7 linked regions of the Xenopus tropicalis genome follow. The protein of the gene in region 3 interacts with the protein of the main gene of each other region in a pairwise test. Links are inferred from orthologs where the notes say so. Each region holds a gene or a part of one and is shown on either strand. Other genes may lie near its edges.

What was found.
Region 1: the proteins of cwf19l2 (region 3) and mad1l1 interact in binary tests that used the Homo sapiens proteins (3 or more experiments, as listed by UniProt). The two-hybrid records come from large-scale screens. The link is inferred for Xenopus tropicalis from reciprocal best matches to the Homo sapiens genes CWF19L2 and MAD1L1.
Region 2: the proteins of cwf19l2 (region 3) and card9 interact in binary tests that used the Homo sapiens proteins (3 or more experiments, as listed by UniProt). The two-hybrid records come from large-scale screens. The link is inferred for Xenopus tropicalis from reciprocal best matches to the Homo sapiens genes CWF19L2 and CARD9.
Region 4: the proteins of cwf19l2 (region 3) and calcoco1 interact in binary tests that used the Homo sapiens proteins (3 or more experiments, as listed by UniProt). The two-hybrid records come from large-scale screens. The link is inferred for Xenopus tropicalis from reciprocal best matches to the Homo sapiens genes CWF19L2 and CALCOCO1.
Region 5: the proteins of cwf19l2 (region 3) and trim54 interact in binary tests that used the Homo sapiens proteins (3 or more experiments, as listed by UniProt). The two-hybrid records come from large-scale screens. The link is inferred for Xenopus tropicalis from reciprocal best matches to the Homo sapiens genes CWF19L2 and TRIM54.
Region 6: the proteins of cwf19l2 (region 3) and mtus2 interact in binary tests that used the Homo sapiens proteins (3 or more experiments, as listed by UniProt). The two-hybrid records come from large-scale screens. The link is inferred for Xenopus tropicalis from reciprocal best matches to the Homo sapiens genes CWF19L2 and MTUS2.
Region 7: the proteins of cwf19l2 (region 3) and rint1 interact in binary tests that used the Homo sapiens proteins (3 or more experiments, as listed by UniProt). The two-hybrid records come from large-scale screens. The link is inferred for Xenopus tropicalis from reciprocal best matches to the Homo sapiens genes CWF19L2 and RINT1.

Annotation. Positions count from the first base shown.
Region 1 is NC_030685.2:31,040,366-31,044,731, reverse strand, and holds the start of mad1l1 (mitotic spindle assembly checkpoint protein MAD1), read left to right. Parts: upstream 1-1,490; 5' UTR 1,491-1,529; exon of another isoform or gene 1,530-1,552; intron 1,553-1,580; exon of another isoform or gene 1,581-1,603; intron 1,604-3,508; 5' UTR 3,509-3,536; coding exon 3,537-3,689; intron 3,690-4,366. UniProt on the Homo sapiens protein: Component of the spindle-assembly checkpoint that prevents the onset of anaphase until all chromosomes are properly aligned at the metaphase plate.
Region 2 is NC_030684.2:6,411,981-6,416,254, forward strand, and holds the start of card9 (caspase recruitment domain-containing protein 9), read right to left. Parts: upstream 2,815-4,274; 5' UTR 2,637-2,814; intron 2,445-2,636; exon of another isoform or gene 2,261-2,444; intron 1,363-2,260; 5' UTR 1,129-1,362; intron 1-1,128. UniProt on the Homo sapiens protein: Adapter protein that plays a key role in innate immune response against fungi by forming signaling complexes downstream of C-type lectin receptors.
Region 3 is NC_030678.2:160,179,768-160,184,151, forward strand, and holds the start of cwf19l2 (CWF19-like protein 2), read left to right. Parts: upstream 1-1,465; 5' UTR 1,466-1,562; coding exon 1,563-1,655; intron 1,656-2,627; coding exon 2,628-2,738; intron 2,739-2,931; coding exon 2,932-3,054; intron 3,055-4,265; coding exon 4,266-4,376; intron 4,377-4,384.
Region 4 is NC_030678.2:146,265,562-146,269,924, reverse strand, and holds the start of calcoco1 (calcium-binding and coiled-coil domain-containing protein 1), read right to left. Parts: upstream 3,011-4,363; 5' UTR 2,930-3,010; intron 1-2,929. UniProt on the Homo sapiens protein: Functions as a coactivator for aryl hydrocarbon and nuclear receptors (NR). Recruited to promoters through its contact with the N-terminal basic helix-loop-helix-Per-Arnt-Sim (PAS) domain of transcription factors or coactivators, such as NCOA2.
Region 5 is NC_030681.2:162,398,378-162,402,868, forward strand, and holds the start of trim54 (tripartite motif-containing protein 54), read right to left. Parts: upstream 2,974-4,491; 5' UTR 2,813-2,973; intron 1,378-2,812; 5' UTR 1,364-1,377; coding exon 1,196-1,363; intron 1-1,195. UniProt on the Homo sapiens protein: May bind and stabilize microtubules during myotubes formation.
Region 6 is NC_030678.2:154,502,656-154,506,454, forward strand, and holds part of mtus2 (microtubule-associated tumor suppressor candidate 2), read right to left. Parts: intron 2,241-3,799; coding exon 2,142-2,240; intron 616-2,141; coding exon 496-615; intron 399-495; coding exon 301-398; intron 1-300. UniProt on the Homo sapiens protein: Binds microtubules. Together with MAPRE1 may target the microtubule depolymerase KIF2C to the plus-end of microtubules. May regulate the dynamics of microtubules at their growing distal tip.
Region 7 is NC_030679.2:77,093,215-77,097,500, forward strand, and holds the start of rint1 (RAD50-interacting protein 1), read right to left. Parts: upstream 2,939-4,286; 5' UTR 2,645-2,938; intron 824-2,644; 5' UTR 817-823; coding exon 595-816; intron 1-594. UniProt on the Homo sapiens protein: Involved in regulation of membrane traffic between the Golgi and the endoplasmic reticulum (ER); the function is proposed to depend on its association in the NRZ complex which is believed to play a role in SNARE assembly at the ER.

The sequences.
Region 1 (4,366 bases), on a different chromosome or scaffold from region 3:
GCTCATCACAGCCTGTTGGTATATATGCCCAACGCGTTTCTTCCTGGTTTGGACTTCCTCAGGGGAATAAAAAAAGTGCAGCCTCCGTTGTCTCACACCTTACTATCTATTTTTTTTTTTTAGACAGGACCTGCTTTTACAATGTGCCAATGTGTGTGTACTTTATACATCTTACGAGTCACCACACAAAAAAAACTTGTCCTTTATGATCTTTTAGACCAGGGGTCCCCAACCTTTCTTACTCGTGAGCCACAGTCACATGTAAAAAGCCTTGGAGAGCAACACAAGCACCATAAAAGTTCATGGAGGTGCCAAATAAGGGCTAAGATTGGCTATTAGGCAGCCTCTATGCACACTATCATCTTATAGGAGGCTTTATTTGGTAGTAAATCTTGTTTTTATTCAACAAAAACTTGCCCCCAAGTCAGGAATTAAAAAATAACTACCTGGTTTGGGGGCACTGAGAGCAACATCCAAGGGGTTGGGGAGAAACATGTTGCCCCTGAGCCACTGGTTGGGGATCATGGTTTTAGACAGTCAGTGCTCAGGTTTGGTAACTTTGAGCTGCACTTACTTTAGACTGACTCAAACATGTACACAATTACCTACTCTAGACAATGAACGGCTGCATCAATTAACTGAAAAATTGGCTTGTGAGCCAAAGGGCACATACCGTACTCAGTACAGCCACTTTTCTATTGCCCTCTTCCCTTCCTCTGACAGCAACTATCTGCACAGTATTGTCACTACCTCGTCTGCTGATGCACAATTGCACCATACAGTCAGCATAATACATTGGCAGATTCAGGCCCAGACTGAATGCCAGAGGGGCTGCTGTAAGATATCATAGACATTCACTGTTTAGTAGGCTAGTGTGGGGCCTCTATGCAATTTGAATGCCAGGGCCTATTTTGAGCATCAGTCCAGACCTGGGCAGATTACTTTTTCCACCATGTCTGATGACCCAATCTATATGCATGGTACAAAGATATTGTCTTGATTGTCAGGCCAGCCTGCAATATATTAAAACTGGTTATACAACTAGAACTAACATGATTTTCAGTACTTGTAGGCTGATGTGACACTCAAGACAATATCTTTGTACCATACATATAGGTGCAGCCTTAGTAACCATAAAGGACAGTACTAGGAAGATTATATAAAAGTTTAGAAAATAAATGTATATATTTTTATATATATATATATATATATATATATATATAAATATATATGTTTAAATATATATATATATGTTTAAATATATATAAATATATACATGTATACATTTAAAAAAAAAATAATAAGTGTGTAAAAAAAAAAATAAGTGTATATATATATATATATAAATGACACCCTACCCTCTGCCGATCTGATTCCAGCTCGCTGGTAACTGCGCCCAGTTCTCTATCAATACGGCAACGCCGGCAAACTTAGGGTGTTTACGGTAAATGTGTTCTCTCGCGAGAGTTGCCCAGAGATTGCTGAGAGCGGGATTGTTCATTTCAGGGAAGGGAAGGAGGAATCTGGCGGTGAGTGAGAGGTGCTGTATTGGGTGAGCATGGGCACAGCCGCACAGGTCTCCTGCTCTACAGTTATTGGTGATGTACGCACTGCTGGTGTCTATGTGCAGCTGTATTGCAGGACTGCAACTCCCAGATTCCACCAGTTTCTCAAGTCAGTGTTGCTCAGGGTCCCAAGCTGCTACATTACAGCCAAGTTCGCAGCAGCAGCCCAAAGGGAAGTTTTAAAGCGTGCAACTATTTCCCCTTTGACTTAAAGTGCTAGAAACCACTGGCCTTGGGATCTTGAAGAATGCTGGGAAATGTAGTCAGAAGATCTAGTCTACAGCATGCAGTAATAGCCTATTAGGAGGGCCCCCCCAGCACTTGTAGACTCTGCTTCCTTGGGATTACTTAGGATTTTTGCACAGTTAGACATCTATCAAAGAGCATATCCATAAAGAAGAAGCAGATCCTGCCATTATAAGGGGGCAGTGGGGTGCTTACTGATAAGCGGTTTAATAAAAAATATATTATTAATGTGTTAATGATTTTGATGGGCTCTTTAATGCTTTCATACTTCTTGTGGGTTACATTGGAAGGGTTAAAAGGCTGATGAGTTTTGAGCATGTAATGCTCTACATTATGGAAAGGCTTCCCCCCCCCCCCCCCCCCCCCCCTTCCCAATCCAGAAAGTTTAAGATCCCAAGCATTCTGTGGATATTATATCTCGGGTTTATAAAGGAAATATAGACCCTCAACAAATTATTGAAAAATTGCTCCAAGTGCTCATGTAAGCACTTTTGCCACTTTTGCCTCCATTCAAGATATTAACAGTTTTTCAGCTGCTAGTATAATGAATTTGATTCAGCAGTGCTGGCTACTGGTCATTTTGGCTGCCTGGTTGCAATCAGCAGAAAATTAATTATGTGAGAAGACCAGTGGCTTGTAAAGTTGCTCTGCTTAGAAAATGAAGTGAGCAGAAAAGAGTCATCTGGGGTTGCTCTGGTCATTTCTAAGCACATTGTCATCACAAGATGTTCCTTTCCTCTCTCTAACTTTTCATTTTCATCTGACTGTATGCAGATAGCTAAAATAAACAGCAGGTGGCGCTGAGGTTTGAAATTCATTATATTAGCAATTATGTTTAACATATGTGTCAGGATCCACAAGGGTAACCGTGTTGTTTACGAGGGGTCTTCATGATTCCCCTAAATAATATATTTTTTCCTACAATTAAATATAGTGAAGCTGGCTTTAGAAAATAACTTAGGGCCCCTGAGAAAAGAGCTTATGAATGTAGGCAATGGTCATAATTAAGTTAAAGAGCTGCTGCAGTTACGGAGTGTCAGTATATTACTGAGTTTGTACCATGGTGCAATTACACTAGCACTTTATAGGGTGTAATTTGCATTAAATTTTCCAGTAACAATATTGTTATTATTTACTATGCATTTTTATACCTTATAAAGTAAAATTAGATATGTGCTGTCTATTTATGGTTGTATTTTTTGTCTTTCTCCTTTTAAAATTGAAACTTATTTTGTTAAATTGCCCTTTAGGCGTGAAATGGAAATCTCCCCAATTGCTGGTGTTCGTTGCATTGCCATTATTTATATTATCTGTGCAGAGAATTGCATCTTCACATAGTGCAGATAAAGACTTAAGGTGGCCATACACGGGCCGATTGTAGCTGCCAATATCGGCCTGTGTAGAGGCAGGAACGACGGGCATGCCTGACCGATATCTGGCCTGAAATTGGCCAGATATCAATCGTGCAGGTTATAAGATTTAGTCGGATCGGGGACCGCATTGTTTCGTTGATGCAGTCTCTGAACCGACTGCACCCATTACTGCCAGTGTAATTCGATTGTTTGGCCCCAGGGGTCTCTTAATGTTCCTTGTTAGGTTTTTTCCCCAGCTAGAAACCTTAGAACCGTACAGTCATATACAAACATATTTGTATTCTGGCTACATAATCCACTGACATTTTCCTCCCATTGTTTCAGATCTGCCTGTAACCTGTGAACAGCTAAAATGGATGACAGTGAAGACAACACCACTGTCATTTCCACACTACGGTCATTTAATAAATTTCTTTCTCAGCCATTGGAAGGGACAGCACCTTCTCTTGGTACTTCAACATCTACTGGAGCTTCCCTTCAAATGCAGTTTCAGCAGCGCTTTCTGGTATGTGTATATATATCATTAATATTTATTAATATTATCTAACAGAGGGATGTTACTATGCAGGTCTGTACTAATGTTTGCATTTGACTAAAACTGGGGGCGGTTATAGTTAAACATACCTATTACCGCCCCCAGTTTTAGCCTAAACTAGTCTGTGTACAGGAATTTTCACAACAGACAATTGGCTTATACATAACTTATGCAGTTTGTGTAAGTTTAGCAACGCAGCTGGGCCCCCTTCTGAAGCAGAATTCACCAGTATTCTGAAGCAGGCCCACCAGTACCCTCCATCCCCCCTAATGGCAGCCCTAGTTGGACCACATATATTGGTCAGTAATGTGCAAACTATATAACATTTCTTGCAAAAGTTGTAAAGTTCACATGCCTAGAGTAACTACAGGTCCTACAGACATGCAAAATATATAAGCAACAGTAGTCTGTCCTCTCAGATCTACAGTTGAACTCCTAATCGCTAAATGGAGGGGACCCATGTTTTTACCTCAGTATCATAGCTCTTGTTATACTACAGCTTGTATTGGGGTTACTTTTGAAACAGCTACTAACAGTGATCCCCTGCAAACAGGTTACATAAGCAGAAAGCCAGAAAGATGTCACCCTTTGTTCTCGTGTCTGAGAACGAGAGCTTTACAGTGACAGCCTTATGCAGGGGTCCAGCT
Region 2 (4,274 bases), on a different chromosome or scaffold from region 3:
CCAGCTACAAAATTCAATTCTGTACATGGTTCCATCTACAAACTTCAATCCTGTACATGGTTCCATCTACAAAATTCAATTCTGTACATGGTTCCAGGAACAAAATTCAATTCTGTACATGGTCCAGCTACAATATTCAATTCTGTACATGGTTCCAGCTACAAAATTCAATTCTGTACATGGTCCAGCTACAAAATTCAATTCTGTACATGGTCCAGCTACAAAATTCAATTCTGTACAGGGTCCAGCTACAAAATTCAATTCTGTACATGGTCCAGCTACAAAATTCAATTCTGTACGTGGTCCAGCTACAAAATTCAATTCTGTACATGGTCCAGCTACAAAATTCAATTCTGTACATGGTTCCAGCTACAAAATTCAATTCTGTACATGGTTCCAGCTACAAAATTCAATTCTGTACATGGTCCAGCTACAATATTCAATTCTGTATATGGTTCCATCTGCAAAATAATATCCTGTACATGTTTCCAGCTACAAAATTCAATCCTGTACATGGTTCCATCTACAAAATTCAATTCTGTACATGGTCCAGCTACAAAATTCAATTCTGTACGTGGTCCAGCTACAAAATTCAATTCTGTACATGGTCCAGCTACAAAATTCAATTCTGTACATGGTTCCAGCTACAAAATTCAATTCTGTACATGGTTCCAGCTACAAAATTCAATTCTGTACATGGTTCCAGCTACAATATTCAATTCTGTACATGGTCCAGCTACAAAATTCAATTCTGTACATGTTCCAGCTACAAAATTCAATTCTGTACATGGTCCAGCTCCAAAATGATATCCTGTACATGGTTTCAGCTACAAAATTATATCCTGTACATGGTTCCAGCTACAAAATTCAATTCTGTACATGGTCCAGCTACAAAATTCAATTCTGTACATGGTTCTGTACACAATTCTGCCTCCCTGCAGACTGGACCAGTGCTATAGAATGGGTTAGATAGGGTAAGTGCTAAATACACACAGAGCATAAGTTTCTAAATAGCCGCAGTAGTTACACTGAATTAAAGGCAAAGTTATATATATTTCGATAAGAAAGAGAGATCAGATTAACTCTCTGGGGCCTGGGAGAGGGGGTTACAATAAAGGGTAAGCTCACCTCTTCTAGAACAGTTGGTCCGTCTGGGAGCTTTCAGCCAAGCGTCTTACTCCGTCCCATGTCAGAGAGCAGGAATGGCAAGGAGAGAAGGAGAGGTGTAGAGCACGGGGGTTTGGGAGGGGCGAAGGCGGCTGTGTAGAAATGACTTCCTGGTCTGCACACAGTCGCATACCACAGTGCAGCTTCACAGTCTGCAGAGATCACTTCCCATTACTGGCTGCACGGCTGCTGCTGCTGGGGAGTCACATGGAGAGGCAGTGAGGTTAGGAACGTTAATGACCAATGAGCCACCGGGCAATAAACAGTGCAATATTCTAGTGATGCAGAGAGTGCTATTCTGAGAAAACTTGCAATTGGTCTTCGTTTTTTGTTATTTGTAGTTTCTTAGTTATTTCACTTTGCTCAGCAGCTCTCCAGTTTGGAGTTTCAGCAGCTATTTGGTTGCTAGGGTCCAAGTTATGTTAGCAACCAGGGAGTGGTTTGGATGAGAGATTGGTATATGAATAGGAGAGGGACTGAATAGAAAGATAAGGAATAAAAAGTAACAATAACAATAAAACTGGAGCCTCACAGAGCAATAGGTTTTGGCTGCCGGGGTCAGTGACCCTGTTGCTGGGGCTCCAATTACCTTAGCAACCAGGGTGTGGTTTGAATGAGAGACTGGTATATGAATAGGGGAGGGGCTGAATAGAAAGATAAGGAATAAAAAGTAACAATAACAATAAAACTGGAGCCTCACAGAGCAATTGTTTCCGGCTGCCGGGGTCAGTGACCCCCAAAGAGTTGGTAGAAGAAGGCAAATATTTAAACTATAGGAAATAAATAATGAAGACCAGTTGAAAAGTTGCTTAGAAATGGCCATTCTATAACATACACAAATTACCTTGAAGGTAAACCGCCCCTTTACGAGCAGCATTTGCCCAGCTCCCCCCCCTTTCCCAGGTATGGCAAGTCACCCTATCAGAATTCGGAGGAGAGCAAATATGCCACACAGCCCACATTCCACCCTGATTGGCATTCAGCCTCGGCATCCGGACACATTACACCACTCACGTGGCTAAAGAAGGTGTACTTTCCCTTTAATTGTAATTATTCATTTAATTGTAAGTAACGAGGGCAATTAGCGACTTACCTTACCCACGGGGGAAGGACTTATTCATCAAGAACGCACGGCCGGGTGGGGCAATTAATAGAGACCGGCGGATGCCTACAGTGCTCACTAATTGGCTTAATTGCACCCATTAGAGGTCAGCTGACCTCGCACACACTCGGCCAACCTGCTCCCAAAATCAACCCACACGGATACAGCCCCCCCCAATGTTATTGGCTACTCCCCCTTACTATTTAGCTCCTCCCCCAGCGGCTACGGTTTCTATATGTGCATACAGGACCCTCCAATCAGGATCCTGAAGGTTTTACCTTCCCATAATTCCAAGAGGAAATGGGTTTGGCCTTTACACAGAACACCTGGATCTGCTAAACAAAGGTGGGGGGGGGTCGTCACCAACCTGTGGCAGATACCGGACCCGTTGGGACATGTCGGTTGCCTGAGATCGTCACTGGGAATTCCACGTGCTCGGAACTGATTGGCTCGTGGCTTCCGGTGGCTGCATGTGGCTCGGCCGTTCCGCTGGGATTGGGGAGTCGGCGTTGGAGGCCGGGAGAGAAGAGAGGGGGGGGTCGGAGGAGTCTTCCGAGAGTGAAAATTGGGATAAAAGTGGATTAAAGGGGAAGGGGGGGGCAAAAGGTATTTGCCTTGGGTGTCAGTTTCGATTGCCCCAGTTCTGCTGTCAGTGACTTATTTTGGGGGTGTATGGATGGACAGATGTGCCCCCCTGTCCCCTCACACAGGCCATTGGGCTATCTGGGCAACCATGTATATGGCCCAATCACACCCGCCATGTCTATCCATTCAAGCTTTCCTCTCTATGATTTTATCTCTCCCCTCCTCGCACTAAATGACTCCCCTGGGGCACCATCTCCAGTATGCGCCACTGTCTCACCCCTGGCACCCTATACCCACAGCGAGCTACTCCCAAACATGGCAAAGCTGGGCATCCCATCTGATCTCCATATGGGAAGTGTCGTTCCAAGATGGCTGTACATGGGGGAGAGGCAAGGTGCAGGCGGTACATGGGGGAGAGGCAAGGTGCAGGCGGTACATGGGGGAGAGGCAAGGTGCAGGCGGTACATGGGGGAGAGGCAAGGTGCAGGCGGTACATGGGGGAGAGGCAAGGTGCAGGCGGTACATGGGGGAGAGGCAAGGTGCAGGCGGTACATGGGGGAGAGGCAAGGTGCAGGCGGTACATGGGGGAGAGGCAGGGTGCAGGCGGTACATGGGGGAGAGGCAAGGTGCAGGCGGTACATGGGGGAGAGGCAAGGTGCAGGCGGTACATGGGGGAGAGGCAAGGTGCAGGCGGTACATGGGGGAGAGGCAAGGTGCAGGCGGTACATGGGGGAGAGGCAAGGTGCAGGCGGTACATGGGGGAGAGGCAAGGTGCAGGCGGTACATGGGGGAGAGGCAAGGTGCAGGCGGTACATGGGGGAGAGGCAAGGTGCAGGCGGTACATGGGGGAGAGGCAAGGTGCAGGCGGTACATGGGGGAGAGGCAAGGTGCAGGCGGTACATGGGGGAGAGGCAAGGTGCAGGCGGTACATGGGGGAGAGGCAAGGTGCAGGCGGTACATGGGGGAGAGGCAAGGTGCAGGCGGTACATGGGGGAGAGGCAAGGTGCAGGCGGTACATGGGGGAGAGGCAAGGTGCAGGCGGTACATGGGGGAGAGGCAAGGTGCAGGCGGTACATGGGGGAGAGGCAAGGTGCAGGCGGTACATGGGGGAGAGGCAAGGTGCAGGCGGTACATGGGGGAGAGGCAAGGTGCAGGCGGTACATGGGGGAGAGGCAAGGTGCAGGCGGTACATGGGGGAGAGGCAAGGTGCAGGCGGTACATGGGGGAGAGGCAAGGTGCAGGCGGTACATGGGGGAGAGGCAAGGTGCAGGCGGTACATGGGGGAGAGGCAAGGTGCAGGCGGTACATGGGGGAGAGGCAAGGTGCAGGCGGTACATGGGGGAGAGGCAAACACAGGCTATGCACCATACAAACCCTACACACAGACACACACTGGGCACCATACAAACCCTACCCACAG
Region 3 (4,384 bases):
GGCACTCTGCAGCTCCAACCCGGCCCAAGGAAAGTCTCCCATAGGGCTCAATGGCACTCTGCAGCTCCAACCTGGCCCAAGGAAAGTCTCCCATAGGGCTCAATGGCAATCTGCAGCTCCAACCTGGCCCAAGGAAAGCCTCCCATAGGGCTCAATGGCACTCTGCAGCTCCAACCTGGCCCAAGGAAAGTCTCCCATAGGGCTCAATGGCACTCTGCAGCTCCAACCCGGCCCAAGGAAAGTCTCCCATAGGGCTCAATGGCACTCTGCAGCTCCAACCTGGCCCAAGGAAAGTCTCCCATAGGGCTCAATGGCACTCTGCAGCTCCAACCTGGCCCAGGAAAGTCTCCCATAGGGCTCAATGGCACTCTGCAGCTCCAACCCGGCCCAAGGAAAGTCTCCCATAGGGCTCAATGGCACTCTGCAGCTCCAACCCGGCCCAAGGAAAGTCTCCCATAGGGCTCAATGGCACTCTGCAGCTCCAACCCGGCCCAAGGAAAGTCTCCCATAGGGCTCAATGGCACTCTGCAGCTCCAACCCGGCCCAAGAAAAGTCACCAGCTTGAATGAATCCAAAACTTTCGTACTCGGCGCGAAAGCTGCGAAAAAGTTGCGACAATTCGCGCAAGTCGTAACGCTACAAAAAAGTCGCGACATTTTGCGAAACATTCGGAACGGCTATGAAAAAGTCGCGAAAATTTTGTGAAAAATCGCAAAATACCGATCATCCTGAAAAAAACGCATTCGGCCCGTTCGTGGGTTAGTAAATGTGCCCCTTAAGGTCATAATCCTCAGTGACCAACACACAAGATGGCGCTCATAGTGTGCAACATTTAGAAATGAAAGTTCATTTGGGCATAATAATTTAAAAATGAAGGTACATTAATGATATTTAAGGCACATTTAGTCTAAATACATACCAAAACCACTGCTTTAGCTCTGTCCATTACCTCTGTCCTCACCATAAACCTGAAAACATATCTGCCCCCCTCCCTCCCCACCAAGGGACCCAGCTTGGGCAAATGCGCCCCTACCCTGCCCTTCTCACTCAGCCCTATTCAGGACCTGTATCTAACAGTATCTGTACTCTGCTCACCAAAAGGGCGACGGGCAGCTATAAGCCTGCAGCAAAGCGACCCAACAACTCACTACAGCGCAACCCACCCCTCTCTACAGGCGGGAGTTCCACTCGCCTAGAATCCTGCGTAAACTTGCACTGAGTTCTTAGTAGGAAGTCTTTATCTTGGCTTCACGCTACTTCCGGGTGTACTAACATGGCGGCGACGTTACGGTACCTCATTGATGTACCCTGTTACTTTGGGTGTACTAACATGGATGCGACGTCAGTGTATCCAAATGGTTATGTCCCCCTTCCGGGTGTACCAATATGGAGGCGATGTAGCTGCGGCTTATAGTTTATCTGCCGTGTTTTGTATTACCTTACTAAAAAGCGTGTTTGCAAGTCACAGAATTGATGCGGCAGTATACGGTGGGAGCAAGCAGTGATTTTGAGCCGCCCTTGTTATTAGTGGATTACAGCTACAGCTTTAAGGTGCCAGAGTGATGGCAGCTGACGGAGGCATGTTTGAAAGTAGCAGGAGTATTGAGGAGAAACGTGAGAGCAAGAGGAGAGCACGGCAGGAGCTGCTCAGCAAGGTACAGGCGGCTTGTATTGGGCAGGGGCTGAGGGGCCAGTAGCACAGGGACCCATGTTATTAGTGACAATGAAGGCAGAGGCAAGAGCTGCCTGTGGGAATGGAATGTTGTAGTTCAGCAACTGCTGCAGTTTTGCAATCACATATTAATCTAACCTCCCAATTAATGCAGCTTTCCTACACTCCCAGGTGCCCACTCAGCTCTGTAAAGCGCCACAAGGGTACGCAGCGCTGTACAATCTTACAGAATACAAATTGACACACAGGGAGGACAAGTGTTATAATAAATAAATACAATAAATATATATATATAAGTGCCATGTGGTATGAGACACAGTAGGAAGGAGGTCCCTGCCCCGTAGAGCTTACAATCTAAGTGGTTGGGTAAAATACAGGCACAAACTGGAAGGTAAGAGGGCACCAGGTATGGGCATTTGCCCTTAAGCGCAGGACTGGGCAAAATAATGTTTTAGTGCTCCAGAAGGTAGCATCTGAGTTTTATCTTAAAGAGAGTGGGTGAGTTTTCCCTACGGGGGGATTCAGGGATAGAGTTCCAGTTCCATGTATGTTCTATGTGTACACCCATTTATTGTACAGTGCTGCGGAATATGTTTATAAATACATATCAATAAGTATAATAAATATTGACAAAGCTGAAATGTGGCTGTATATCCCCTTGTTCAGCCATAATACAATGAACTAGGCCTGTGCTAAACATACTTTTTGCCTATTTTACCTGTCAAAACATAACGTAGCATTTACCCATAGGTAACATAAAAGGCATTCCATTATGTAAGTAGGTGAATGGATATATGGAATTACTTTATATAAGTCATACTTTATATTCTGACCAACTTTGGCTGTTTGCTATTTTTTGCTTAATTATTCATTATGCTTTTTTTCATTATTATTTTTTATTTTTGAATTAGATTTATGACTATTCTGTCATTTTCTTTTTCTTTAATTCTTATAGGCCAAAGATGACTACTCTAAAGCAGAGAAGCGTAAAGAGCAGCAGCGCCTACGAGGAGAAGACACCTGGATGCTAGATGATGTTAATGATCGGTTAGAAGCATTAAATCAGGTAATACACGCAGGTAAACATAAATAGCTATAAACTGATTTTAGCCGCCAGTTAATTTGTGCTCGCAAAATCCTTCGTACTCTGTAAGTTCTTGTGTCCAGAGAAGAACCAATCAAACTATCGCTAAATATATTTTTTTCTAAGCATCATGCTGTTTATTTTATGTCTCTTTTACTGTGTTTTGTCTTTTCAGGAACATTCTGCAAAGAATAAAAAGAAAAAGGAGAAACACCGCCACAAACTGAAAAAGGAGAAAAAGAAAAAAAGCAAAAAGCAGAAATCGGAAAGGAATGATGATTCTGAGGACAGTTCTTCGGTATACCGTGGGACATTGGGAAGGGAAGATAATTGGGCGCATTGGTTTACAAGGCACAGTGAGCAAAATGCGAATTCGAGGGCCGTCGACATGTATTTTTTCCCCACAATGCTGTGTCTTTTCCACAACCCAGGTTTTGATGCAAATGGGCAATCCTATTGACATAATTGCACTGCGCCTACCGGAATTAAGTCTGAAAATGGAGCAAATGCATGTGTGCTTAGTTGCAAATCAGGTGCAGTTGCACCAAATATTTTCCATATCTGCCTGGTATCATTGCCTGCGATCACTGTCGTAATTTTAAGCGTTCAGCGTGTGCCTGATTCTTTTGGTGCAGCTGCACTTAAGCGACTGAGGGAGCAGAGGGAATTATGGAGCTACTGCCTGGTCAGGAGGTGCTGGTAGCTCCAGGGTGCCCCTATGTTAATATGCACAGCAGCACTCAATTTGGAACATAGGGCAGGAAAGACTGAGCAGTGCCAAGGCCCACTTTACAGAAGTACAAGCCCTGCATTTTGAAGCAAATACCTTTAAGAAAAGTGGTTTTATGCACAAAGCATATCAAACTGAAATTGATATGAAAGAATTATATTACTATATAAAGTTTATGTTTAGATGCCAAAAAGGGACTTTTTCACATAACCTATTAAAGGAGACATATCATATAAAAATTAAGAATGTACCAGTGAATTATACTCCTCTAAATATAGAAGGATTGTGCTTAAAAAAAGTTGTGTTTTGGGTTGATTTATTGAGAAATTCCACCAAAACCCCACTAGTCCCAACCATCTGTTCCACTTCCTGCTGGCTGAATGTGCAGGGGAGCCGGCAGCTCTCAGTACACTGCACTGTAGGATAGGAGCCAATCAGCAGCTAGGCTGACCTGATAGGGAACTGAAGCCTGTCTTTGCTTGTGTGAGTGCAAGGCTGTGATTGGCTATCCCCCTCCTACTGTCCTTGTGGCAGGGACTTTTAGAACACGCCCACGCTAAAATTGATTGGATTTACGTTTAGCCCAAAGTGAAACCAGCACCATATATTATTCATAATTGCCAACAAACTTGGGGTTTTTCCATTTATCCAATATGTCTCCTTTTACACTAAAGGAACGTTCACATGTTGATATAATGGTTCACTTTTATTGCATCTTTATTATAGGATGTGTTTTGTAGCAATTTTACCACTAGCCTTAAACTATTATGTCTTTGCAGGATTCTGAGGAGGAATGGGTTGAGGCTCCCCCACTACAGGCAGCCAGTGAGAAGAAGGCATGGAAAATTAAGGCTGAAGTTAAGGCTGAAGTCCCTGAAAAATCTACAGAGGTAATTTA
Region 4 (4,363 bases), about 14 Mb from region 3:
GGTGCCATTTATTTAAGTCAAGTTTTGTATCACCCCAAAGTCTTGTGTATGTGCCAGAATGGGGGACCAGATGCCCAGGCCCATGCACTGGCTACCCAATTAGATGGTTAGGAGGGAGGGGGAAAGTGTGAGCTGAATTAAAAGTTAAAGTACTTGTCTGCAGGCAATATATGATTGACAGCTGGGATTTTTAAATGCCTTTATAATGGGTTTGGGTGTGTTAATATAAAAATGAATGTGTGTTTCTTATTTAATTTCAAAAGGACTTTTATTATACAGATTTGTATGCCTGGGTGACAGGTCCACTTTAAATGTTGTGCATACTGTGAATAGATCCACAGAAAATGGAGCAGTTTCTCCATACATGAAGTTGCACATAGAGGTGTGTTACATTACAGAGCCATTAGAAACCAGACTGAGATCCAAAAACCAGACATCACATTTAAAAAACCGGGCTGTCTAGTCTAAAACCAGACAGGCACAACCCTAACTTTATCAACTATAGTAATAATAATTTTATAACCAAACTGTTCTTTTTGATCAAGGGAAAGAAGGTTCAAGACTCAGGCAATTAAATGTAGAACCTTCTAGTTAACAAAGAAAATAGGCAACTAATTAAACAGCAAAGACATAGTAATTTTTTTTACAACATATAGTACTTTTCTTTGCAGTGTAACAAATTGTGCAAATACAAATTGCATGGAGAAACGCTGAAACGTTATTACAGGAAATTAGCAAAATGATTCAGCAATTTTTGTAGTTCTAAAATTTCCATATTTTGTTCCAGGAGAAAAACAGCCCAAGAAACACAGCAACTGATCGTACTGCTGAAGAGGCGGATTGGAAACACATGGTTAGCTAAAATGAGAGTGACAAAATGTCCCTTAAATAATTTTGGGGAGCCTAAGGGATTCTGTGAATTAATGGTATGTGCTGAACTGGACCATCTCCATTGCTTTCCAGGAAGACCATTCCACTTTTGCTCAACAACCTTCTTGAGTTACTCTAATGACATCATGTGAAATACATCTCTCCATATGTGCAGCAGCAGCAAGCATTACTGACAATCATGTTATTGTAGTATGGGTTGGTTTTGCACCATGTCTCATCAGTGACAGAAATCACTACAGTCTCAGCATATGAAGCTCCCTCCCTTTGCTAGGCACCCACTAATCAATAAAAAAATGATTGTTTAATCAAAGGACAACTGACACACAAACACAATTTTAGGGTTCTATGTGCATTATAAATCCTGTTCTGTATTCCTGGTACCTGTCTTCGCTTGCATTTGAATCCTGGCCTGATGCATGGGGAAAGGCTATTGGGTTTATTTAACTAAAACTTGCCAACATATTTCTGTTTGTGTAGGATCCTGCATCAAGCAGCAGGAGTAGCTTATTGACTGACACCCCCAGTATTACCCAATCCTACATTCCCCTCTTGTTCTTTATAGGTTTCCGAGGTTCCTGAGTAGTGATGAGTGAATATCTCCTGTTTTGAAAAAAATTCTGAAACTGTGGGAAAATTCATGAATTGTCGAAAAGCATGGAAATCAATTGGCATTTGTCTGCAGCGGCTGTTTTTGTGCATTGCACATTGGAGTCTATGGGTGTTTTGTTGCAAAATTTTGTGAAAATATTTTGCAACAAAACTGTGGAATTGTGCCACAAATCCATATCTGGTGAAAAATTATGCTCATTACTATTCCTGATTGAACTATTTGCTTTGTATACCTTGTTTTTCAATCCTGTTCCTTGTTATGGCCCCCCTCCTTGTCCTGAGACATTGTGGAATTGTGCCACAAATCCATATCTGGTGAAAAATTATACTCATTACTATTCCTGATTGCACTATTTGCTTTGTATACCTTTTTTTTCAATCCTGTTCCTTGTTATGGTCCCCTTCCTTGTCCTGAGACATTGTGCTACCCAAATATATAATACAGAGGTTCTAGCTTTTCATAACACGGTAACCCCAAGCATTTCATGACATCCTGTAGCACCATCATTTCAAGTGCCAGTGGCTCCAGAAATTTGTGATACACTGCACCTAGCATTAAATGATAAAGTTGCCTCCACAATCTATGAAACAGTGGCCCCAACATTTCATGAGGCAGCAGCCACTAGGGTTGCTGCCTTGCCTCAATCTTTGTGATGTCAGGGGCGGAGCTTTGGTGGGCCACATATAAGGGGAAATCGTGATCAGGGCAAGCTAGATAGAGAGCTGGGTGAGAGGATATTAGGCAGGTCGGGTGGATCAGAGGTGGGCATGGGCAAAGGACAAGTTATTGCAAATTTACTGGCAGCTACATTTCAGGTAGATTTGTAATTTTGGCTCTGGCCCTTGCAGGCCAGGGCGGTGAAATACCAGCCAGGTGGCAACCCTAGTGGCCACAGTATTTCATGCAACAGTGCCCAAAGCATTTAATGACACAGTGCCCCCCCCCCAACATATATCCACATATCTATAATTATATACCGGATCTGCATTAACAATGTAATCACATATTGATTTATCTTTTTAATAAATGCAGATTAGAGTATTTTAACCTCTTCACACAGAGATTGATCATCTTTAACCAATCACAAATTCTCAAGAACCCAATTACCTGCTGTTGAAACAAGAGAGAATTCTTCTATGAATGACAACACAATTTTTTAACCTTAACAACTTTATTATACATTTTTGACAGTGCTTTCTTTAACACATGGTCTAAGGAAGACCTTTCTTTTTAAGTCATTGATGCAAGGGTGTTATCTATCCCTATAATATTATATACTATAATATTAACATCCAAATATAAAGATTCGTGATATTCCATATTAAATTCATACCTAGGGGCTAAAAGATTTTTTTTCAAGTTCCTCTTAAGTGCCCCACGACACCATTAAATGTAATCAATGTACTGAATCTCAGGAGGTATACATACCGTGTTCTGCCAAACGTCCTAGTCAGCATATGATGATGAGGCGAGGCTACCCATTAAGGTCTTGTCTATCTGTAGGGAGAGAGTATGTTCAAAATGTAATAAATTCCCTTGTAACACAAAATTTTATAAATTAAGCAAAAATTCAGCCAGGGAATTTACCTAAATAGAATTAAGTCAAAAAATGTCTAACAGGCCAATTTAGCAGAAATATATGTGTATAATGAAGTGCTATTAGCGGTCACTAAATACAACGTTGGCACCTAAAGCGGGAGTTGTCTCAGCAAATCTAGAAGAACAAAACTTGGAACAACCAGTTTTTGCAAAAAAATAATCAAAATATTTTGTCACAGGCTGGGTAACTGACTGAATTGTAGACACTAAGGAGAGGATGTACCACATACTTATGATATTAGGAAGACCATACTGTAAATTACTGCCTTTCTGGGGGTTTTCACTAATGTATTACACAGTGGCCTCAGCATTTCATGACATTGTGATGTTAGCATTTTATGACACAGTGGTTCTGGCAATATATGAAACAGTTACCCCTTTGCATTTCATAACAGAGAGACTCCAGCAAATTTTGACAATGACCCTAGCCTTTCACGAGACTATGGTCCAAGTAATATGTCAAACAGTGTGTCCTTTGCAATTTATGCCAGAGGGAACCCAGTATATATGACACAGTGGCCCCAGAAATAATGGTACTTTCAGCCCAAAAAATCATGATATTATACTGTAGGTACAGTGGCCCATAAAATGTATAACACACCATTGGCCCAGCACATCATAACAGCATTTTAAGCAATTTGTGACAATGCGGCCCCAACATTCAAGACATAGTGGACACAGCTTTTTTATGGCACAGTGAATCCAGCATTTCATACCATAGGATTGCACCAGCAATATATTACACAGTGGCCCCAACAATTTATGATACAGTGGCCCCAGCATTTGATGACACATGAATTTCATGGACAGTGAAACCAGCATTTCATGGCAGAGTGTGCCTCTAGCTATATGACACAGTCCCTAAAATTATTAGGGCTGAGTAGCCTCAGCTTTCATGATACTATTCAATATATGGTGCTATTTCTCACTTTCTGACTCCAGCAAATGGAAAAAATAGAAAGTAATTGAATGTCATGTATAAACTTACCCTCAGGGCTAACAACCCACATCAGTCAAAAAATAGGTGAAATTTATAGGTCTGCTATTTGAAGCAAATGTGTAAAAATGTTCAATGGACTGCTCTTTACAGAAAAGATAATGTTATCAGTGAAAGAAAATGCAATGAAAGGAGAAGACTTTCTACTTGTAAACACACTGGTTAATAGTTAGCAATAATGAAACTGATCATCAAACATGTATAAGTAATTATTAGTAATTTATATATTATATAAAGTTTCTTGAAATATTAAAATACCTACATAT
Region 5 (4,491 bases), on a different chromosome or scaffold from region 3:
TTCCTCCTCCTTACGGAGTCTCCTACATCTTGTTCCTCCCCCTACTGACTCTTCTCCATGTTGTTCCTCCTCCTTACGGAGTCTCCTACATCTTGTTCCTCCCCCTACTGACTCTTCTCTATGTTGCTCTTCCTCCTACTGAGTCTCCTACATCTTGTTCCTCCCCCTACTGACTATTCTCTATGTTGTTCCTCCTCCTACTGAGTCTCCTACATCTTGTTCCTCCTCCTACTGACTCTTCTCTATGTTGTTCCTCCTCCTATGGAGTCTCCTACATCTTGTTCCTCCCCCTACTGACTCTTCTCTATGTTGTTCCTCCTCCTATGGAGTCTCCTACATCTTGTTCCTCCTCCTACTGACTCTTCTCTATGTTGTTCCTCCTCCTATGGAGTCTCCTACATCTTGTTCCTCCCCCTACTGACTCTTCTCTATGTTGTTCCTCCTCCTATGGAGTCTCCTACATCTTGTTCCTCCCCCTACTGACTCTTCTCTATGTTGTTCCTCCTCCTATGGAGTCTCCTACATCTTGTTCCTCCCCTACTGACTCTTCTCTATGTTGTTCCTCCTCCTATGGAGTCTCCTACATCTTGTTCCTCCCCCTACTGACTCTTCTCTATGTTGTTCCTCCTCCTATGGAGTCTCCTACATCTTGTTCCTCCCCCTACTGACTCTTCTCTATGTTGTTCCTCCTCCTATGGAGTCTCCTACATCTTGTTCCTTGTCTCTAATACAGGTGGGGGAGAGGTGCCATGAAGGAAAGGCAGGTTCTAGTTATAGGGAATTCAGTTACAGGGAAGGGCAAAGCATGACGGATGCCCCGGTGCCAGGAACTGACTGTTTATATTTATATAATTCTACTTTGGTTGCAGTTGGCACAAGGTTATTTATAAATAGATCCGGCATTGTATCACGGGGCCTATTTCCCACAGTGAGGGGGTCTGTGAATTCCAACAGCCAATGGAGGCCAACTGTATTCACTGGCCAATCAGAGGAGGCGACCAGTCAGAGTTTTCTGAGATAAAATAAAGAGGTTATGTTTTTTTCAATTGTGGTTGCTGGGGGGCAGTCATTAATGAGATCCCGGTACCTCCTGAGACACCTCCCTGAGATACCCCCCCAACAGTAAGAATGGCCCCTGTCCCATAGCGTTAGTGCCACACACAGGGGGTTAGACCAAGAGAGCCCCAGGGGGTACCTGGAAGATATCATTGGCACACTTTCGGCACAGGTTGTGCTGGCAGGGCAGGATCACCACGGGTTTGGTGAACATCTCCAGGCAGATGGGGCAGATGAGCTGCTTCTCCAGGTTGTCCATGGTCTGGGTGTCTCCGGCCAAAGGCTTGAAACCCACCGCAAAATTCATCCCCTCACAGGATGCTAGGAAGAAACAGGCAGCAAGATGTACTGGGGGTATATATGTGCCCCCCCAAGGGCCCCTCATCCCTAAATCCTCCCACCAACAGTACCACGTGCCCTCCCACCCACTCACAGAGGCCCCAGCACCCCACCCTGATCATGCTCACCCCCAGTCCCGCAACCTCACCCCCTGCCTTTCTAACCTGCGGGCACTGCCCCCAGTCCCACAACCTCACCCCCTGCCTCTCCAACCCGCGGGCACTGCCCCCAATCCCGCAACCTCACCCCCTACCTCTCTAACCCGCGGGCACTGCCCCCAGTCCCGCAACCTCACCCCCTGCCTCTCTAACCCGCGGGCACTGCCCCCAGTCCCACAACCTCACCCCCTGCCTCTCCAACCCGCGGGCACTGCCCCCAATCCCGCAACCTCACCCCCTGCCTCTCTAACCCGCGGGCACTGCCCCCAGTCCCGCAACCTCACCCCCTGCCTCTCTAACCCGCGGGCACTGCCCCCAGTCCCGCAACCTCACCCCCTGCCTCTCTAACCCGCGGGCACTGCCCCCAGTCCCACAACCTCACCCCCTGCCTCTCCAACCCGCGGGCACTGCCCCCAATCCCGCAACCTCACCCCCTGCCTCTCTAACCCGCGGGCACTGCCCCCAGTCCCGCAACCTCACCCCCTGCCTCTCTAACCGGCGGGCACTGCCCCCAGTCCCACAATCTCACCCCCTGCCGTTCTAACCCGCGGGCACTACTTCCAGTCCCACAACCTCACCCCCTGCCTCTCTAACCTGCGGGCACTGCCCCCAGTCCCACAACCTCACCCCCTGCCTCTCCAACCCACGGGCACTGCCCCCAGTCCCGCAACCTCACCCCCTGCCTCTCTAACCCGCGGGCACTGCCCCCAGTCCCACAACCTCACCCCCTGCCTCTCCAAACCACGGGCACTGCCCCCAGTCCCGCAACCTCACCCCCTGCCTCTCCAAACCACGGGCACTGCCCCCAGTCCCACAACCTCACCCCCTGCCTCTCCAAACCACGGGCACTGCCCCCAGTCCCGCAACCTCACCCCCTGCCTCTCCAAACCACGGGCACTGCCCCCAGCCCCACAACCTTAACCCCCAACACTTAGCAGCTTCCCCAGCCAAGGGGCCCTCAGGCTGATGCCACTGTGCCAGGCGCTTGGGGAGTGTGGGCAGTAGAGGGTAAGTTGCCCGGCCTGTCGGTCTCAGTTGAGTTTATCTTCTCTTGTATAGTTTTAAATAAAAAACATTAAAACCCTGCCCCCCCCCTCAATTCACACAACATCCCCAGTCCTGTGACCCCCCCCCCACAATATACCAAGCAACCCCCCCATCTAAACCCCTGAAAATTACTGTTCCCACCCAAAAACCCTGTAACAACCACCCAGACCCCCCAACCCAGCTGCCCCCCAAGTTCTGTGCCCCCCACTTACTGGTACTGGGTGTCCTGCCCTGAGCGCTCTCACAACTCTCTCCCCAAATGATACACAAACTGGGAGACTAAGTGTTGAGGCTCCGGTCACTTCCTCCTGCCCCCCCCCAATGATTAACCCTTCTGTGCCAGTGGCTGAGCAGCTAACAGAGCCCCTCGCACCAGGCTGTGCCCCCCCACTATCAGGCAGAGTTAATGCGACATGAGTGGAAGGGGGGCAGGGGGGCAGGGGGGCATTCCTGCTGTATATTTAGCTCAGGGATAAGGAGCGGGGGGGGGGGGGGGCAAGTCTGGGGTGCAGCTGTCACACACTCACTGAGCAGCTGATAGTGAGTCACACTCACACAATGACTCAGTAACAAAGGCACGCACCCCCCCCCCCACATACATATATATATATATATATACATACACACATGCACCCCCCCACCCCCTATAATATATATAGGAACCCCTCTCAGGCAGCACAATAAAACACTAAAGATAAGTGGGGGGGGCCTGGGGGGGTTTCTGAACAAAGAGATTTAGTGAAGCCGCATTAGTTGTATGGGATTAAACCCAATGGGAAAACTGTCTGTGCAACAATGTGGGTCCCCTTGTAACTGTGCTGAATGTAACTGCTCAGTACTGATTACTGGCAGCACCTAATTGGCTGGATTAGCTCGTTACGCCTTGACCTTCACAGGCAGGTGTGTCCAAAAGGTATTTAATGTGACCAATTGCAAGTTGTGCTTCTATTTGACTCTCCTGAGTGACAGCAGGGGATCCTCACAGCAACTCTCAATAGATCTGAAAGCAAAGATTGTTCAGTACAGGGTTTAGGGGGAGGCTACAAACAGCTCAGATCCCAGAGGGTTAACCTGTCAGTTCCAACTGTAAGGAACGTAATCAGGAAATGGGAGGCCACAGGAACAGTTGCTGTAAAACCCAGGTCTGGCCTGTCAAGGAACATCCAAGAGCGGAATATTGGGGGTGAATTGTGAGACTGGTTCCAGACAAGCCAAAGATCCCACCTCACCCCCCAGGAACTTCTTGCTGCAGACGGTGTATCTGTACCTGGTGCTACAGCGCCATTTGCACAAAGACCATCTGGATGGCCGGGGGGTGGGAAAGGAGCCCTTTCTGCCCTCGCGCCCCACATACCGTCGCTTGTTGGGGCAAAAGCTCATTTAGCTGCAGGCATCTGGGAACAAAGTGCTTTGGGCTGATGAGACACAAATGGCGTTATTTGCTCATAACAAAAAGCGCTTTCCCAGAAACCCCCACTGCCGACTGTCACATTGGGTGGGGGTCCCATCATGCTGTGGGGCTGGTTCAGGGACCGGGGTCCTTGTTAAAGTTGAGGGTCGGATGAATTCACCCCAATACCAACCCTTCAGGATCATGTCTAAGTGTCAGGCAGAGAGTTGCAGTTCCAGGGGTTGGATATTCCCACAATGAGCCCAAACACAGTGGGAAAGCTACAAAGGCATTTATGCGGGGGGTCGCACCCCCCCTGAATATCATGGGAAATCTATGGGCTGATTTGCAGCAGTCACATGGAACTGGGGGGAGTCTGTATGGGCAGTGATTGGGCAGAAATACCCCCATACAGAACCCACACACTCACCCAGGGCTGTAGGGGTGCCTAGGGGCTGTTACATCTCAATATCGCTGTTGGGGGGCCACACTCACTTTGTT
Region 6 (3,799 bases), about 5.7 Mb from region 3:
ACCCACCCTGGAATTCTAGGAGAATGCTGCATTGTGGGAAAAAAACACGGTGATTGCACTTTGCTCACTGCACTTGGCAATGTACATGGTCTTATAGTTGGGAGAAATCTAAAATCCTGTGATCTCATATCTCAAATCTATATGAAAAAGAATTCTAAATAACAAGTTTAATGTTTATAAGGGATTATGTAGTAACGTGGTCTATTGTTACTGTTTGGGTTACCAGACTGGCGCAGGCATTCAGCCATGATACTTATTATTATTACCCCCATTGCATTTAGTAGGCAGTAATAGAGAGACCTGGTGACAACCACATTCTGCGCAATCCTGGCTTTCATGTCTTCGTTCTGCTGCTGAAGGACCTGGACTTTCTCCTCCAAAAGAACGTTTATTTCAGCCTGAGAGAAGAAGCAGAACCAATGGTAAGTGACCCATCTCTCTGCACATCCCGGCAGCAGAATGAGCATCCTGGCAGCTTTACTGTAAGGGACGTACCAGTTTTTCCAATTCCATTATTCTCTTCTCCTGTTGATGGATTAGTTGGTTCTTCATCTCCAGCACTTGTTTCACACTGTGCAAATCTTCATCCAAGTGGCGGTATGGCGCTAGGGCAATCTGCAAAACAACCGTTTCATTTTCAGACATCGAATTATGCAAAGCTGCTACGGCAGAAGATTGTTTCACGCCCCAGTATGTTGTACGTGTATAGTAAAGTGTAGCGTTTGCTTTCTCAGAGGAGGGGGGAAGAGAAAAGGGAAGGTTACCACCCGGCCAGTGTTTGACTGGCCCAGTCACTAACTCACCAGTCACTAACTCACCAGTCACTAACTCACCAGTCACTAACTCACCAGTCAGGGCCAGAGCTGGAATTGCATAATTACCGGCAATATAATTGTCAGTCAATTTGTAAAACTGTATAAACCCCTCCCTTCCCTAACCCTCTCCGCTGCTACATTACCCTTACCCCCAAGTGATGTCACCAGTCACCCCCGACCTAAAGTCCTTGTTATCAGCACTACACAGGCAGGCCAGCTAGAGGTAGGCCAGATTCTGTGGAACACAATATTATGAATTTGAGTTTCAAAGGACATTCTGCATAAAACTGATTGTGGAAAAGAATTGTACAGACCCCCATGTGGTTATCTTAAGGTACTGTCCCAACGTTACCTTAAATTAAACCTCTCTAAAACTGAACTGGTTCTCTTCCCCCCATCCAACGCCCACATTGTTCCCGAGGTATCTATAACGGTTAACAATTCTACCATCACCCCATCTTCCCAGGCCCGGTGCCTTGGGGTTATCCTTGATTCTGCCCTGTCCTTCACTCCTCATATCCAATCACTTATCAAATCATGTCGCTTTCACCTAAGAAATATCTCCAAAATCCGATCATTTATCACCCAAGATGCTGCCAAAATTCTTATTCACTCTCTTATAATATCTCGCCTGGACTACTGTAACTCCCTATTAATTGGCCTTCCCCTCCAAAGACTGTCCCCTCTCCAGTCCATAATGAATACTGCTGCCAGGCTCATACACCTCTCCAACCGCTCCTCCTCTGCCGTGCCGCTCTGCCAATCCCTGCACTGGCTTCCCCTACCATCCAGGATAAAATTCAAACTAATGACCCTCACATTTAAAGCAGTCCATAACTCTGCCCCACCCTACATCTCTGAACTCATCTCTAGGTACCATCCAACCCACTTGTTACGCTCCTCTACTGACCTGCTCCCCAACTCCTCTCTCATTCCCTCCTCACACACTCGCATTCAAGGCTTTGCAAGGGCTGCCCCCCTTCTCTGGAATTCACTCCCACAAACTGTCAGACTTTCTCCCAATTTCTCTGCCTTCAAGAGATCTCTAAAAACACATTTATTCAGAGAAGCTTACCCTAATCTAGTTTAGCAATACCCTGTGCCCCACCTCTCACAACTCTGTCATGCCCATTCCCACACCTTGTGTCTCAACCCTTTCTCCTTGTAGATTGTAAGCTCTTTTGGGCAGGGCTCTCTTCACCTCTTGTATCGGTTATTGGTTGCTTTATATGTTACTCTGTATGTCCAATGTATGGAAACCACTTATTGTACAGCGCTGCGGAATATGTTGGCGCCTTATAAATAAATGTTAATGTAATGTAATACCTCTAACTGTTCATTCGTGCTTCTCATCAGCGCCTCCTCAAACCTCCTCGCTCTGTCTCGTAGCGTGTTATTCTGGAACGTTAATGTGTCCACCTGATCCTTCAAAAGGAGCAAGATGAGAAATAGACAATTAGATCCCCCCGCTGTAAACTCTCCTCTAACATCAACTCTATACACTAATTGTGATCTTCCTTATAGCAGAACTAAAACTAGGCTATCATTACTACAGCTTATGTTTTAGGCTCCTGGAGCAGCTGATGCTCACATGCTGATACCTACAGGCTGGAGGTGCAATAAGTTCGGTATATAAAATATGGCATTTCTAGGCATATTTATGTTTATGGTTTAGTTCTCCTTTATGTTCTCAAGCAAATTGTACTTGTGTATTAGCTGCCACATAATGAGACTCTAAATTATTTACTAATCAGCCTTATATTGTGGCATTTATATTCTATATATACAGTATAGTGCGCCATTTATATTCTATATATACAGTATAGTGTGCCATTTATATTCTATATATACAGTATAGTGTGCCATTTATATTCTATATATACAGTATATTGTGCCATTTATATTCTATATATACAGTATATTGTGCCATTTATATTCTATATATACAGTATAGTGTGCCATTTCTATTCTATATATATAGTATAGTGTGACATTTATATTCTATATATACAGTATAGTGTGCCATTTCTATTCTATATATACAGTATAGTGTGCCATTTCTATTCTATATATACAGTATAGTGTGCCATCTCTATTCTATATATACAGTATAGTGTGCCATTTCTATTCTATATATACAGTATAGTGTGCCATTTCTATTCTATATATACAGTATAGTGTGCCATTTCTATTCTATATATACAGTATAGTGTGCCATTTCTATTCTATATATACAGTATAGTGTGCCATTTCTATTCTATATATACAGTATAGTGTGCCATTTCTATTCTATATATACAGTATAGTGTGCCATTTCTATTCTATATACAGTATAGTGTGCCATGTATATTCTATATATACAGTATAGTGTGCCATTTATATTCTATATATACAGTATAGTGTGACATTTCTATTCTATATATACAGTACAGTGTGCCATTTCTATTCTATATATACAGTACAGTGTGCCATTTCTATTCTATATATACAGTATATTGTGCCATTTGTATTCTATATATACAGTATAGTGTGCCATTTCTATTCTATATATACAGTACAGTGTGCCATTTCTATTCTATATATACAGTATAGTGTGCCATTTCTATTCTATATATACAGTATAGTGTGACATTTGTATTCTATATATACAGTATAGTGTGCCATTTCTATTCTATATATACAGTATAGTGTGACATTTGTATTCTATATATACAGTATAGTGTGCCATTTCTATTCTATATATACAGTAGTGTGACATATTCTATATATACAGTACAGTGTGCCATTTCTATTCTATATATACAGTACAGTGTGCCATTTCTATTCTATATATACAGTATAGTGTGCCATTTCTATTCTATATATACAGTATATTGTGCCATTTCTATTCTATATATACAGTACAGTGTGACATATTCTATATATACAGTATATTGTGCCATTTATATTCTATATATACAGTATAGTGTGCCATTTATATTCTA
Region 7 (4,286 bases), on a different chromosome or scaffold from region 3:
TGCACATTCTGGAAGTGATGGGGGAAGTAACGCTGAAGATTGGCACGTCAAATTTTGGACTTTCTGGAGGGTATATATTACTAACACTTTGTCAATGTAAGTTGCCTGCACCTTTTGCATGTTTCCCTGACGAAGACCCCTCGTTGTAAGGGCCGAAATGTGTTGGGTATTTCTATGTGTGGCATTAATAAATGATAAAAAAAAGGTTTATTTAAGAGTGCCCTGTTTTTTGCATTTGTGCAGCTTAATACTGCAAGGAAAACTATGGTTGGAAAAGGAATAATTTTTAAAAGACAAGATTGACATAAAGGGCTGATTCCATGTTCTAATCCTCTGAAAGATCAATACTTTGGGTGCAGGTTGGAAAGCAGCTTTTGATGGTCAGGTGCATGTTAGAAGAGACCTGCTAATTACTAGTAGGAAGGTTTTGTCACTACTTGATGGGATGACACCCCAAATCACACCACATGCCCTCTCATCAACTTTTTACTTCTAACTGCAGCCAATGCCCTTTAATCTTTAGGGCTGTTCTTGAGGTAAGAGATCACATCATCATCCTTAACAGGACTTAAAAATATAACCTGCTGTACTTACTTGCTCCTCCAAATGTTTCTTCTCTTCTTTAATGGTTTCTATGAGGTTTGAAACGTTTTTCAGAGACTTGAAATCATTTCCTATCTCCTTTTCTACAAATTCACACACATACAATGGAATCTCACATGTGTCCAAATCCACCAGTCCACAGATGTCACTCGGGTTCTTGTGGTCACTTTGATTGGAAGTGCCGGACTCTCTTCCAGTCTCCAAAGAAGCCATAATTGACCTGGGGAACAAGAAAAAGCATATTTATTAAAAGAAAAAAATAAATAAATTCAATTTTTTTAAATAAAAACACTTTTTCTTTTGTATCAAGTCCCTATGTGTGCGGCATTCTTTCTATTATATTTTTGTTTTTGACCTGCACCAAGGGCATTTGGATTCTGGATAACAGATCCAATACCTGTATGCAGATATATATACAGGAATGGGATCCCTTATCCGGAAACCCATTATCCAGAAAGCTCTGAATTACGGAAAGTTCATCTCCCATAGACTCCATTTTAATCAAATAATTCAGAATTTTAAAGCTGATTTTCTTTTTCTCTGACATAATAAAACAGTAACTTGTAATTGATCCCAACTAAGATATAAATAATCCTAATTGGATGCAAAACAATCCTATTAGGATAATTAATATTTTTTTGGTTTTTTAGTAGACTTAAGGTATGGAGATCCAAATTACGGAAAGACCCCTTATCCGGAATACCCTTGGTCCCGAGCATTCTGGATAACGGGTTCTATACCTGTATATGTATGTGTGTTTGTGTATATCAAATGTAAAAAAGGGGAGTACTTCCTCTATAAATACAAAGGCAGAGCTAATAGCGCTGAAGCAAGCTAAATGGTTATCAAAATAAGCTGTCTCTAAACTTCAGAGCTGTTGCAGAATAACAAACTCAGCAGAAAGTGTGTTGATATCTGACAATAATCCAATAATATGAATAGCTACTTTAATCAAACTGGTGAACATTTACATGCAGCAAAGGGCTTCCACCTCATATTTAGAATGAATCACCTATAACATCACCATTCTGCACAATTGATGACTAATCATGTGATGCATGCAGAACACTGCACTGTTTTTTATGCAGCCATGCACTGCACATCTGTGTTTATTACTCATCATCCCTGCGTAAATGGTTTTAATAGGCATCTGATTACTTAGGAATGGGGTTTCCAGATATTCCTATGAATCCGAACCTCTACAATCAATCTATACTGCATATTAAAAAGGTAATAGGTTTGTTGCATGACACACAGTTGTACAGAGGCCAACATAGGCTGCATTATGGACATAAAGTTCTAAGCCAGTGATCCCCAGTCAGTGGCTTGTTAGCAAGATGTTGCTCACCGCCCCCTTGCTCCCAGGGGCCTCAAGGTTGGTGCCCATTTTTACATTTCTGGCTTGGAGGTCAGTTTTACTCCAAGCAGAGCCTCCTGCAGGCTAGCAGTCCACATGGACTGCCAAATAGCCAATTACTGTGCTTATTTGGTACCCCTAAAGACATTTTTTAATAATTATTATAAAATACATATATTTAATATTTTTAAAAATATATATCTTGGGTTTTTGTTTTCCTTTCATTTAAGAGGAATCTGTAGTTTACAAGTTGACATCTTACCTGTCAATATTGCTATATGAAGGAGCACATGACAGCGGATCCACGTTCCTCTGCCTGGTTAAAAAAAGCAGGCAGAAGAAAGCAGATCTACTCCATCAATATTGTTTACCACTTGTACTTTAGGGCTTCTATACGAACTCAAAATGCATTTATTTATTCATTCATTAAAAAATAATAAAATCTTATACATTACTTTAAAGCATGGTGTTTTTCCCTGCAAAATCATTAAGATGCAATGCATTTCAGTGAAAACAACGTTTTTGTGTCAGTTTCCAGATCAATGCAAAAATGATTAGCACAATAATAGATGCAAATGCACACGACCCTAACTTGTATACACAAGCCGCCCCTGGGGAGAAATTACTTATTATAAAAAAAAGAAATTCAACCAAGGTGATGATTTTAATTTTCAAAGGAGTTACCTCTTCTGTAGATCAAGCAAACAGTTCGTCTGGGAGTTAGTTTCGGGCCCAGAGCCCACGACTCAAAGTCACTTTCGCAAATTGCAGTCCCGGGGATAATTTGTAGGTCTTTCGTAACGCATCTTGCAGCAGTCCCTGTGACAGCCTACACACTGTCACCAGCACTAAACACACATCACTTCCTCAAGCTGAACGCTCAGCAGCGGTACAAACACATCACTTCCGGTGACTTTGGCATCTCTCCCGCACTGCATACGTCACTTCCCAGTTCTGCGCCCTCTCACCTAAGCTGCAGACGTATAACTTCCTGCCCCAGTTCTCTCTGTAAAACCACAACTTTATTAACAAATTCGGCGTTAAACAAAAATGGACTCAACTGGTAGCGGAAATATAGCCACAGTGGCACTAAACAAACTATGAAGTTCCTGGCTAACTAGCAGCGTTATGAATTGCAGCCGCACAGTTAGAGAGCAATTCTCTCTGCAGCAGCCACGTTTTAAATCTTTCGCAATTCTAACGTGAATAATAATGACACCCTGCTGAATGAATGGCTATAAGTTAAAGGGGAATGCTTTTTTTTTTTTTTAAGTCCTTCATGAAAGAAAATCGATTCCAAGCAATGTTCTAATGTACATGAGTAGTTTTAGAGTTGTAAATGTGTTTGTAATTTGATGCACTGTTTGTCCTTTTCTGGTCTGACTTTTGCAACAACGTACCAAGAGCCAGCTCTTACCTAGCTCTTACCCAGCTCTTACCTAGCTCTTACCCAGCTCTTACCTAGCTCTTACCCAGCTCTTACCCAGCTCTTACCTAGCTCTTACCCAGCCATTACCTCAATACTTTCCATGCTTATTCAAGCAGCTGGCTTTTGCAATGCAGAAAACATAAACATGAAAAAAAAGTACTGGTCCGTTTTTGACTTCCTAATCAATAGCCTAAGTACTGTTTTCAGTTGCAATTATATTGCATTTAAATTTGTAATTAAGGAAATATGGGGAAAGTTGAATAGGCCTTTTTACAAAAAACAACAGGCGGAGCTCTGAGGAAACTGCCTTTAGTTTTTATAGTCTGCGGTAGGCAAATTAGATTGAGAGTGCTACTGAAGCAGGGCTGTGATGTGCTGGAACTATATCAGGGATGGTTTAAGGCTGTGGCCCCCAAAACCACAGGAGGCCTTGGGGCTAAAACATATAAAAGTACAACAAATTTTTAAGGAATATGTAAAGCCTACAATGTAAATCAGTTGGGAACATCTCCCCCACCCAAATGGCATCATTTGTACTACATATATCCCCTCCCACCCGGTGGCCATTTTTCTTACATACTCAGATACATTTAAATCTGCAAACAGCATACACACACAGACCCTTATTCAGCGTACATCTCCTTGTAGATTGTAAGCTCTTTTAGGCAGGGCCCTCTTCACCTCTTGTATCAGTTATTGATTGCTTTATATGTTACTCTGTATGTCCAATGTATGTAACCCACTTATTGTACAGCGCTGCGGAATATGTTGGCGCTTTATACATAAATGTTAATGTAATGTACATTTAATCAAGAATACAGGCACAACTGTCTGATAAAAGTTCTGCTTTGTTTGAGCACTGTAATGGTAAAGCTAAGCTCAGGAGAAAGAAATTCA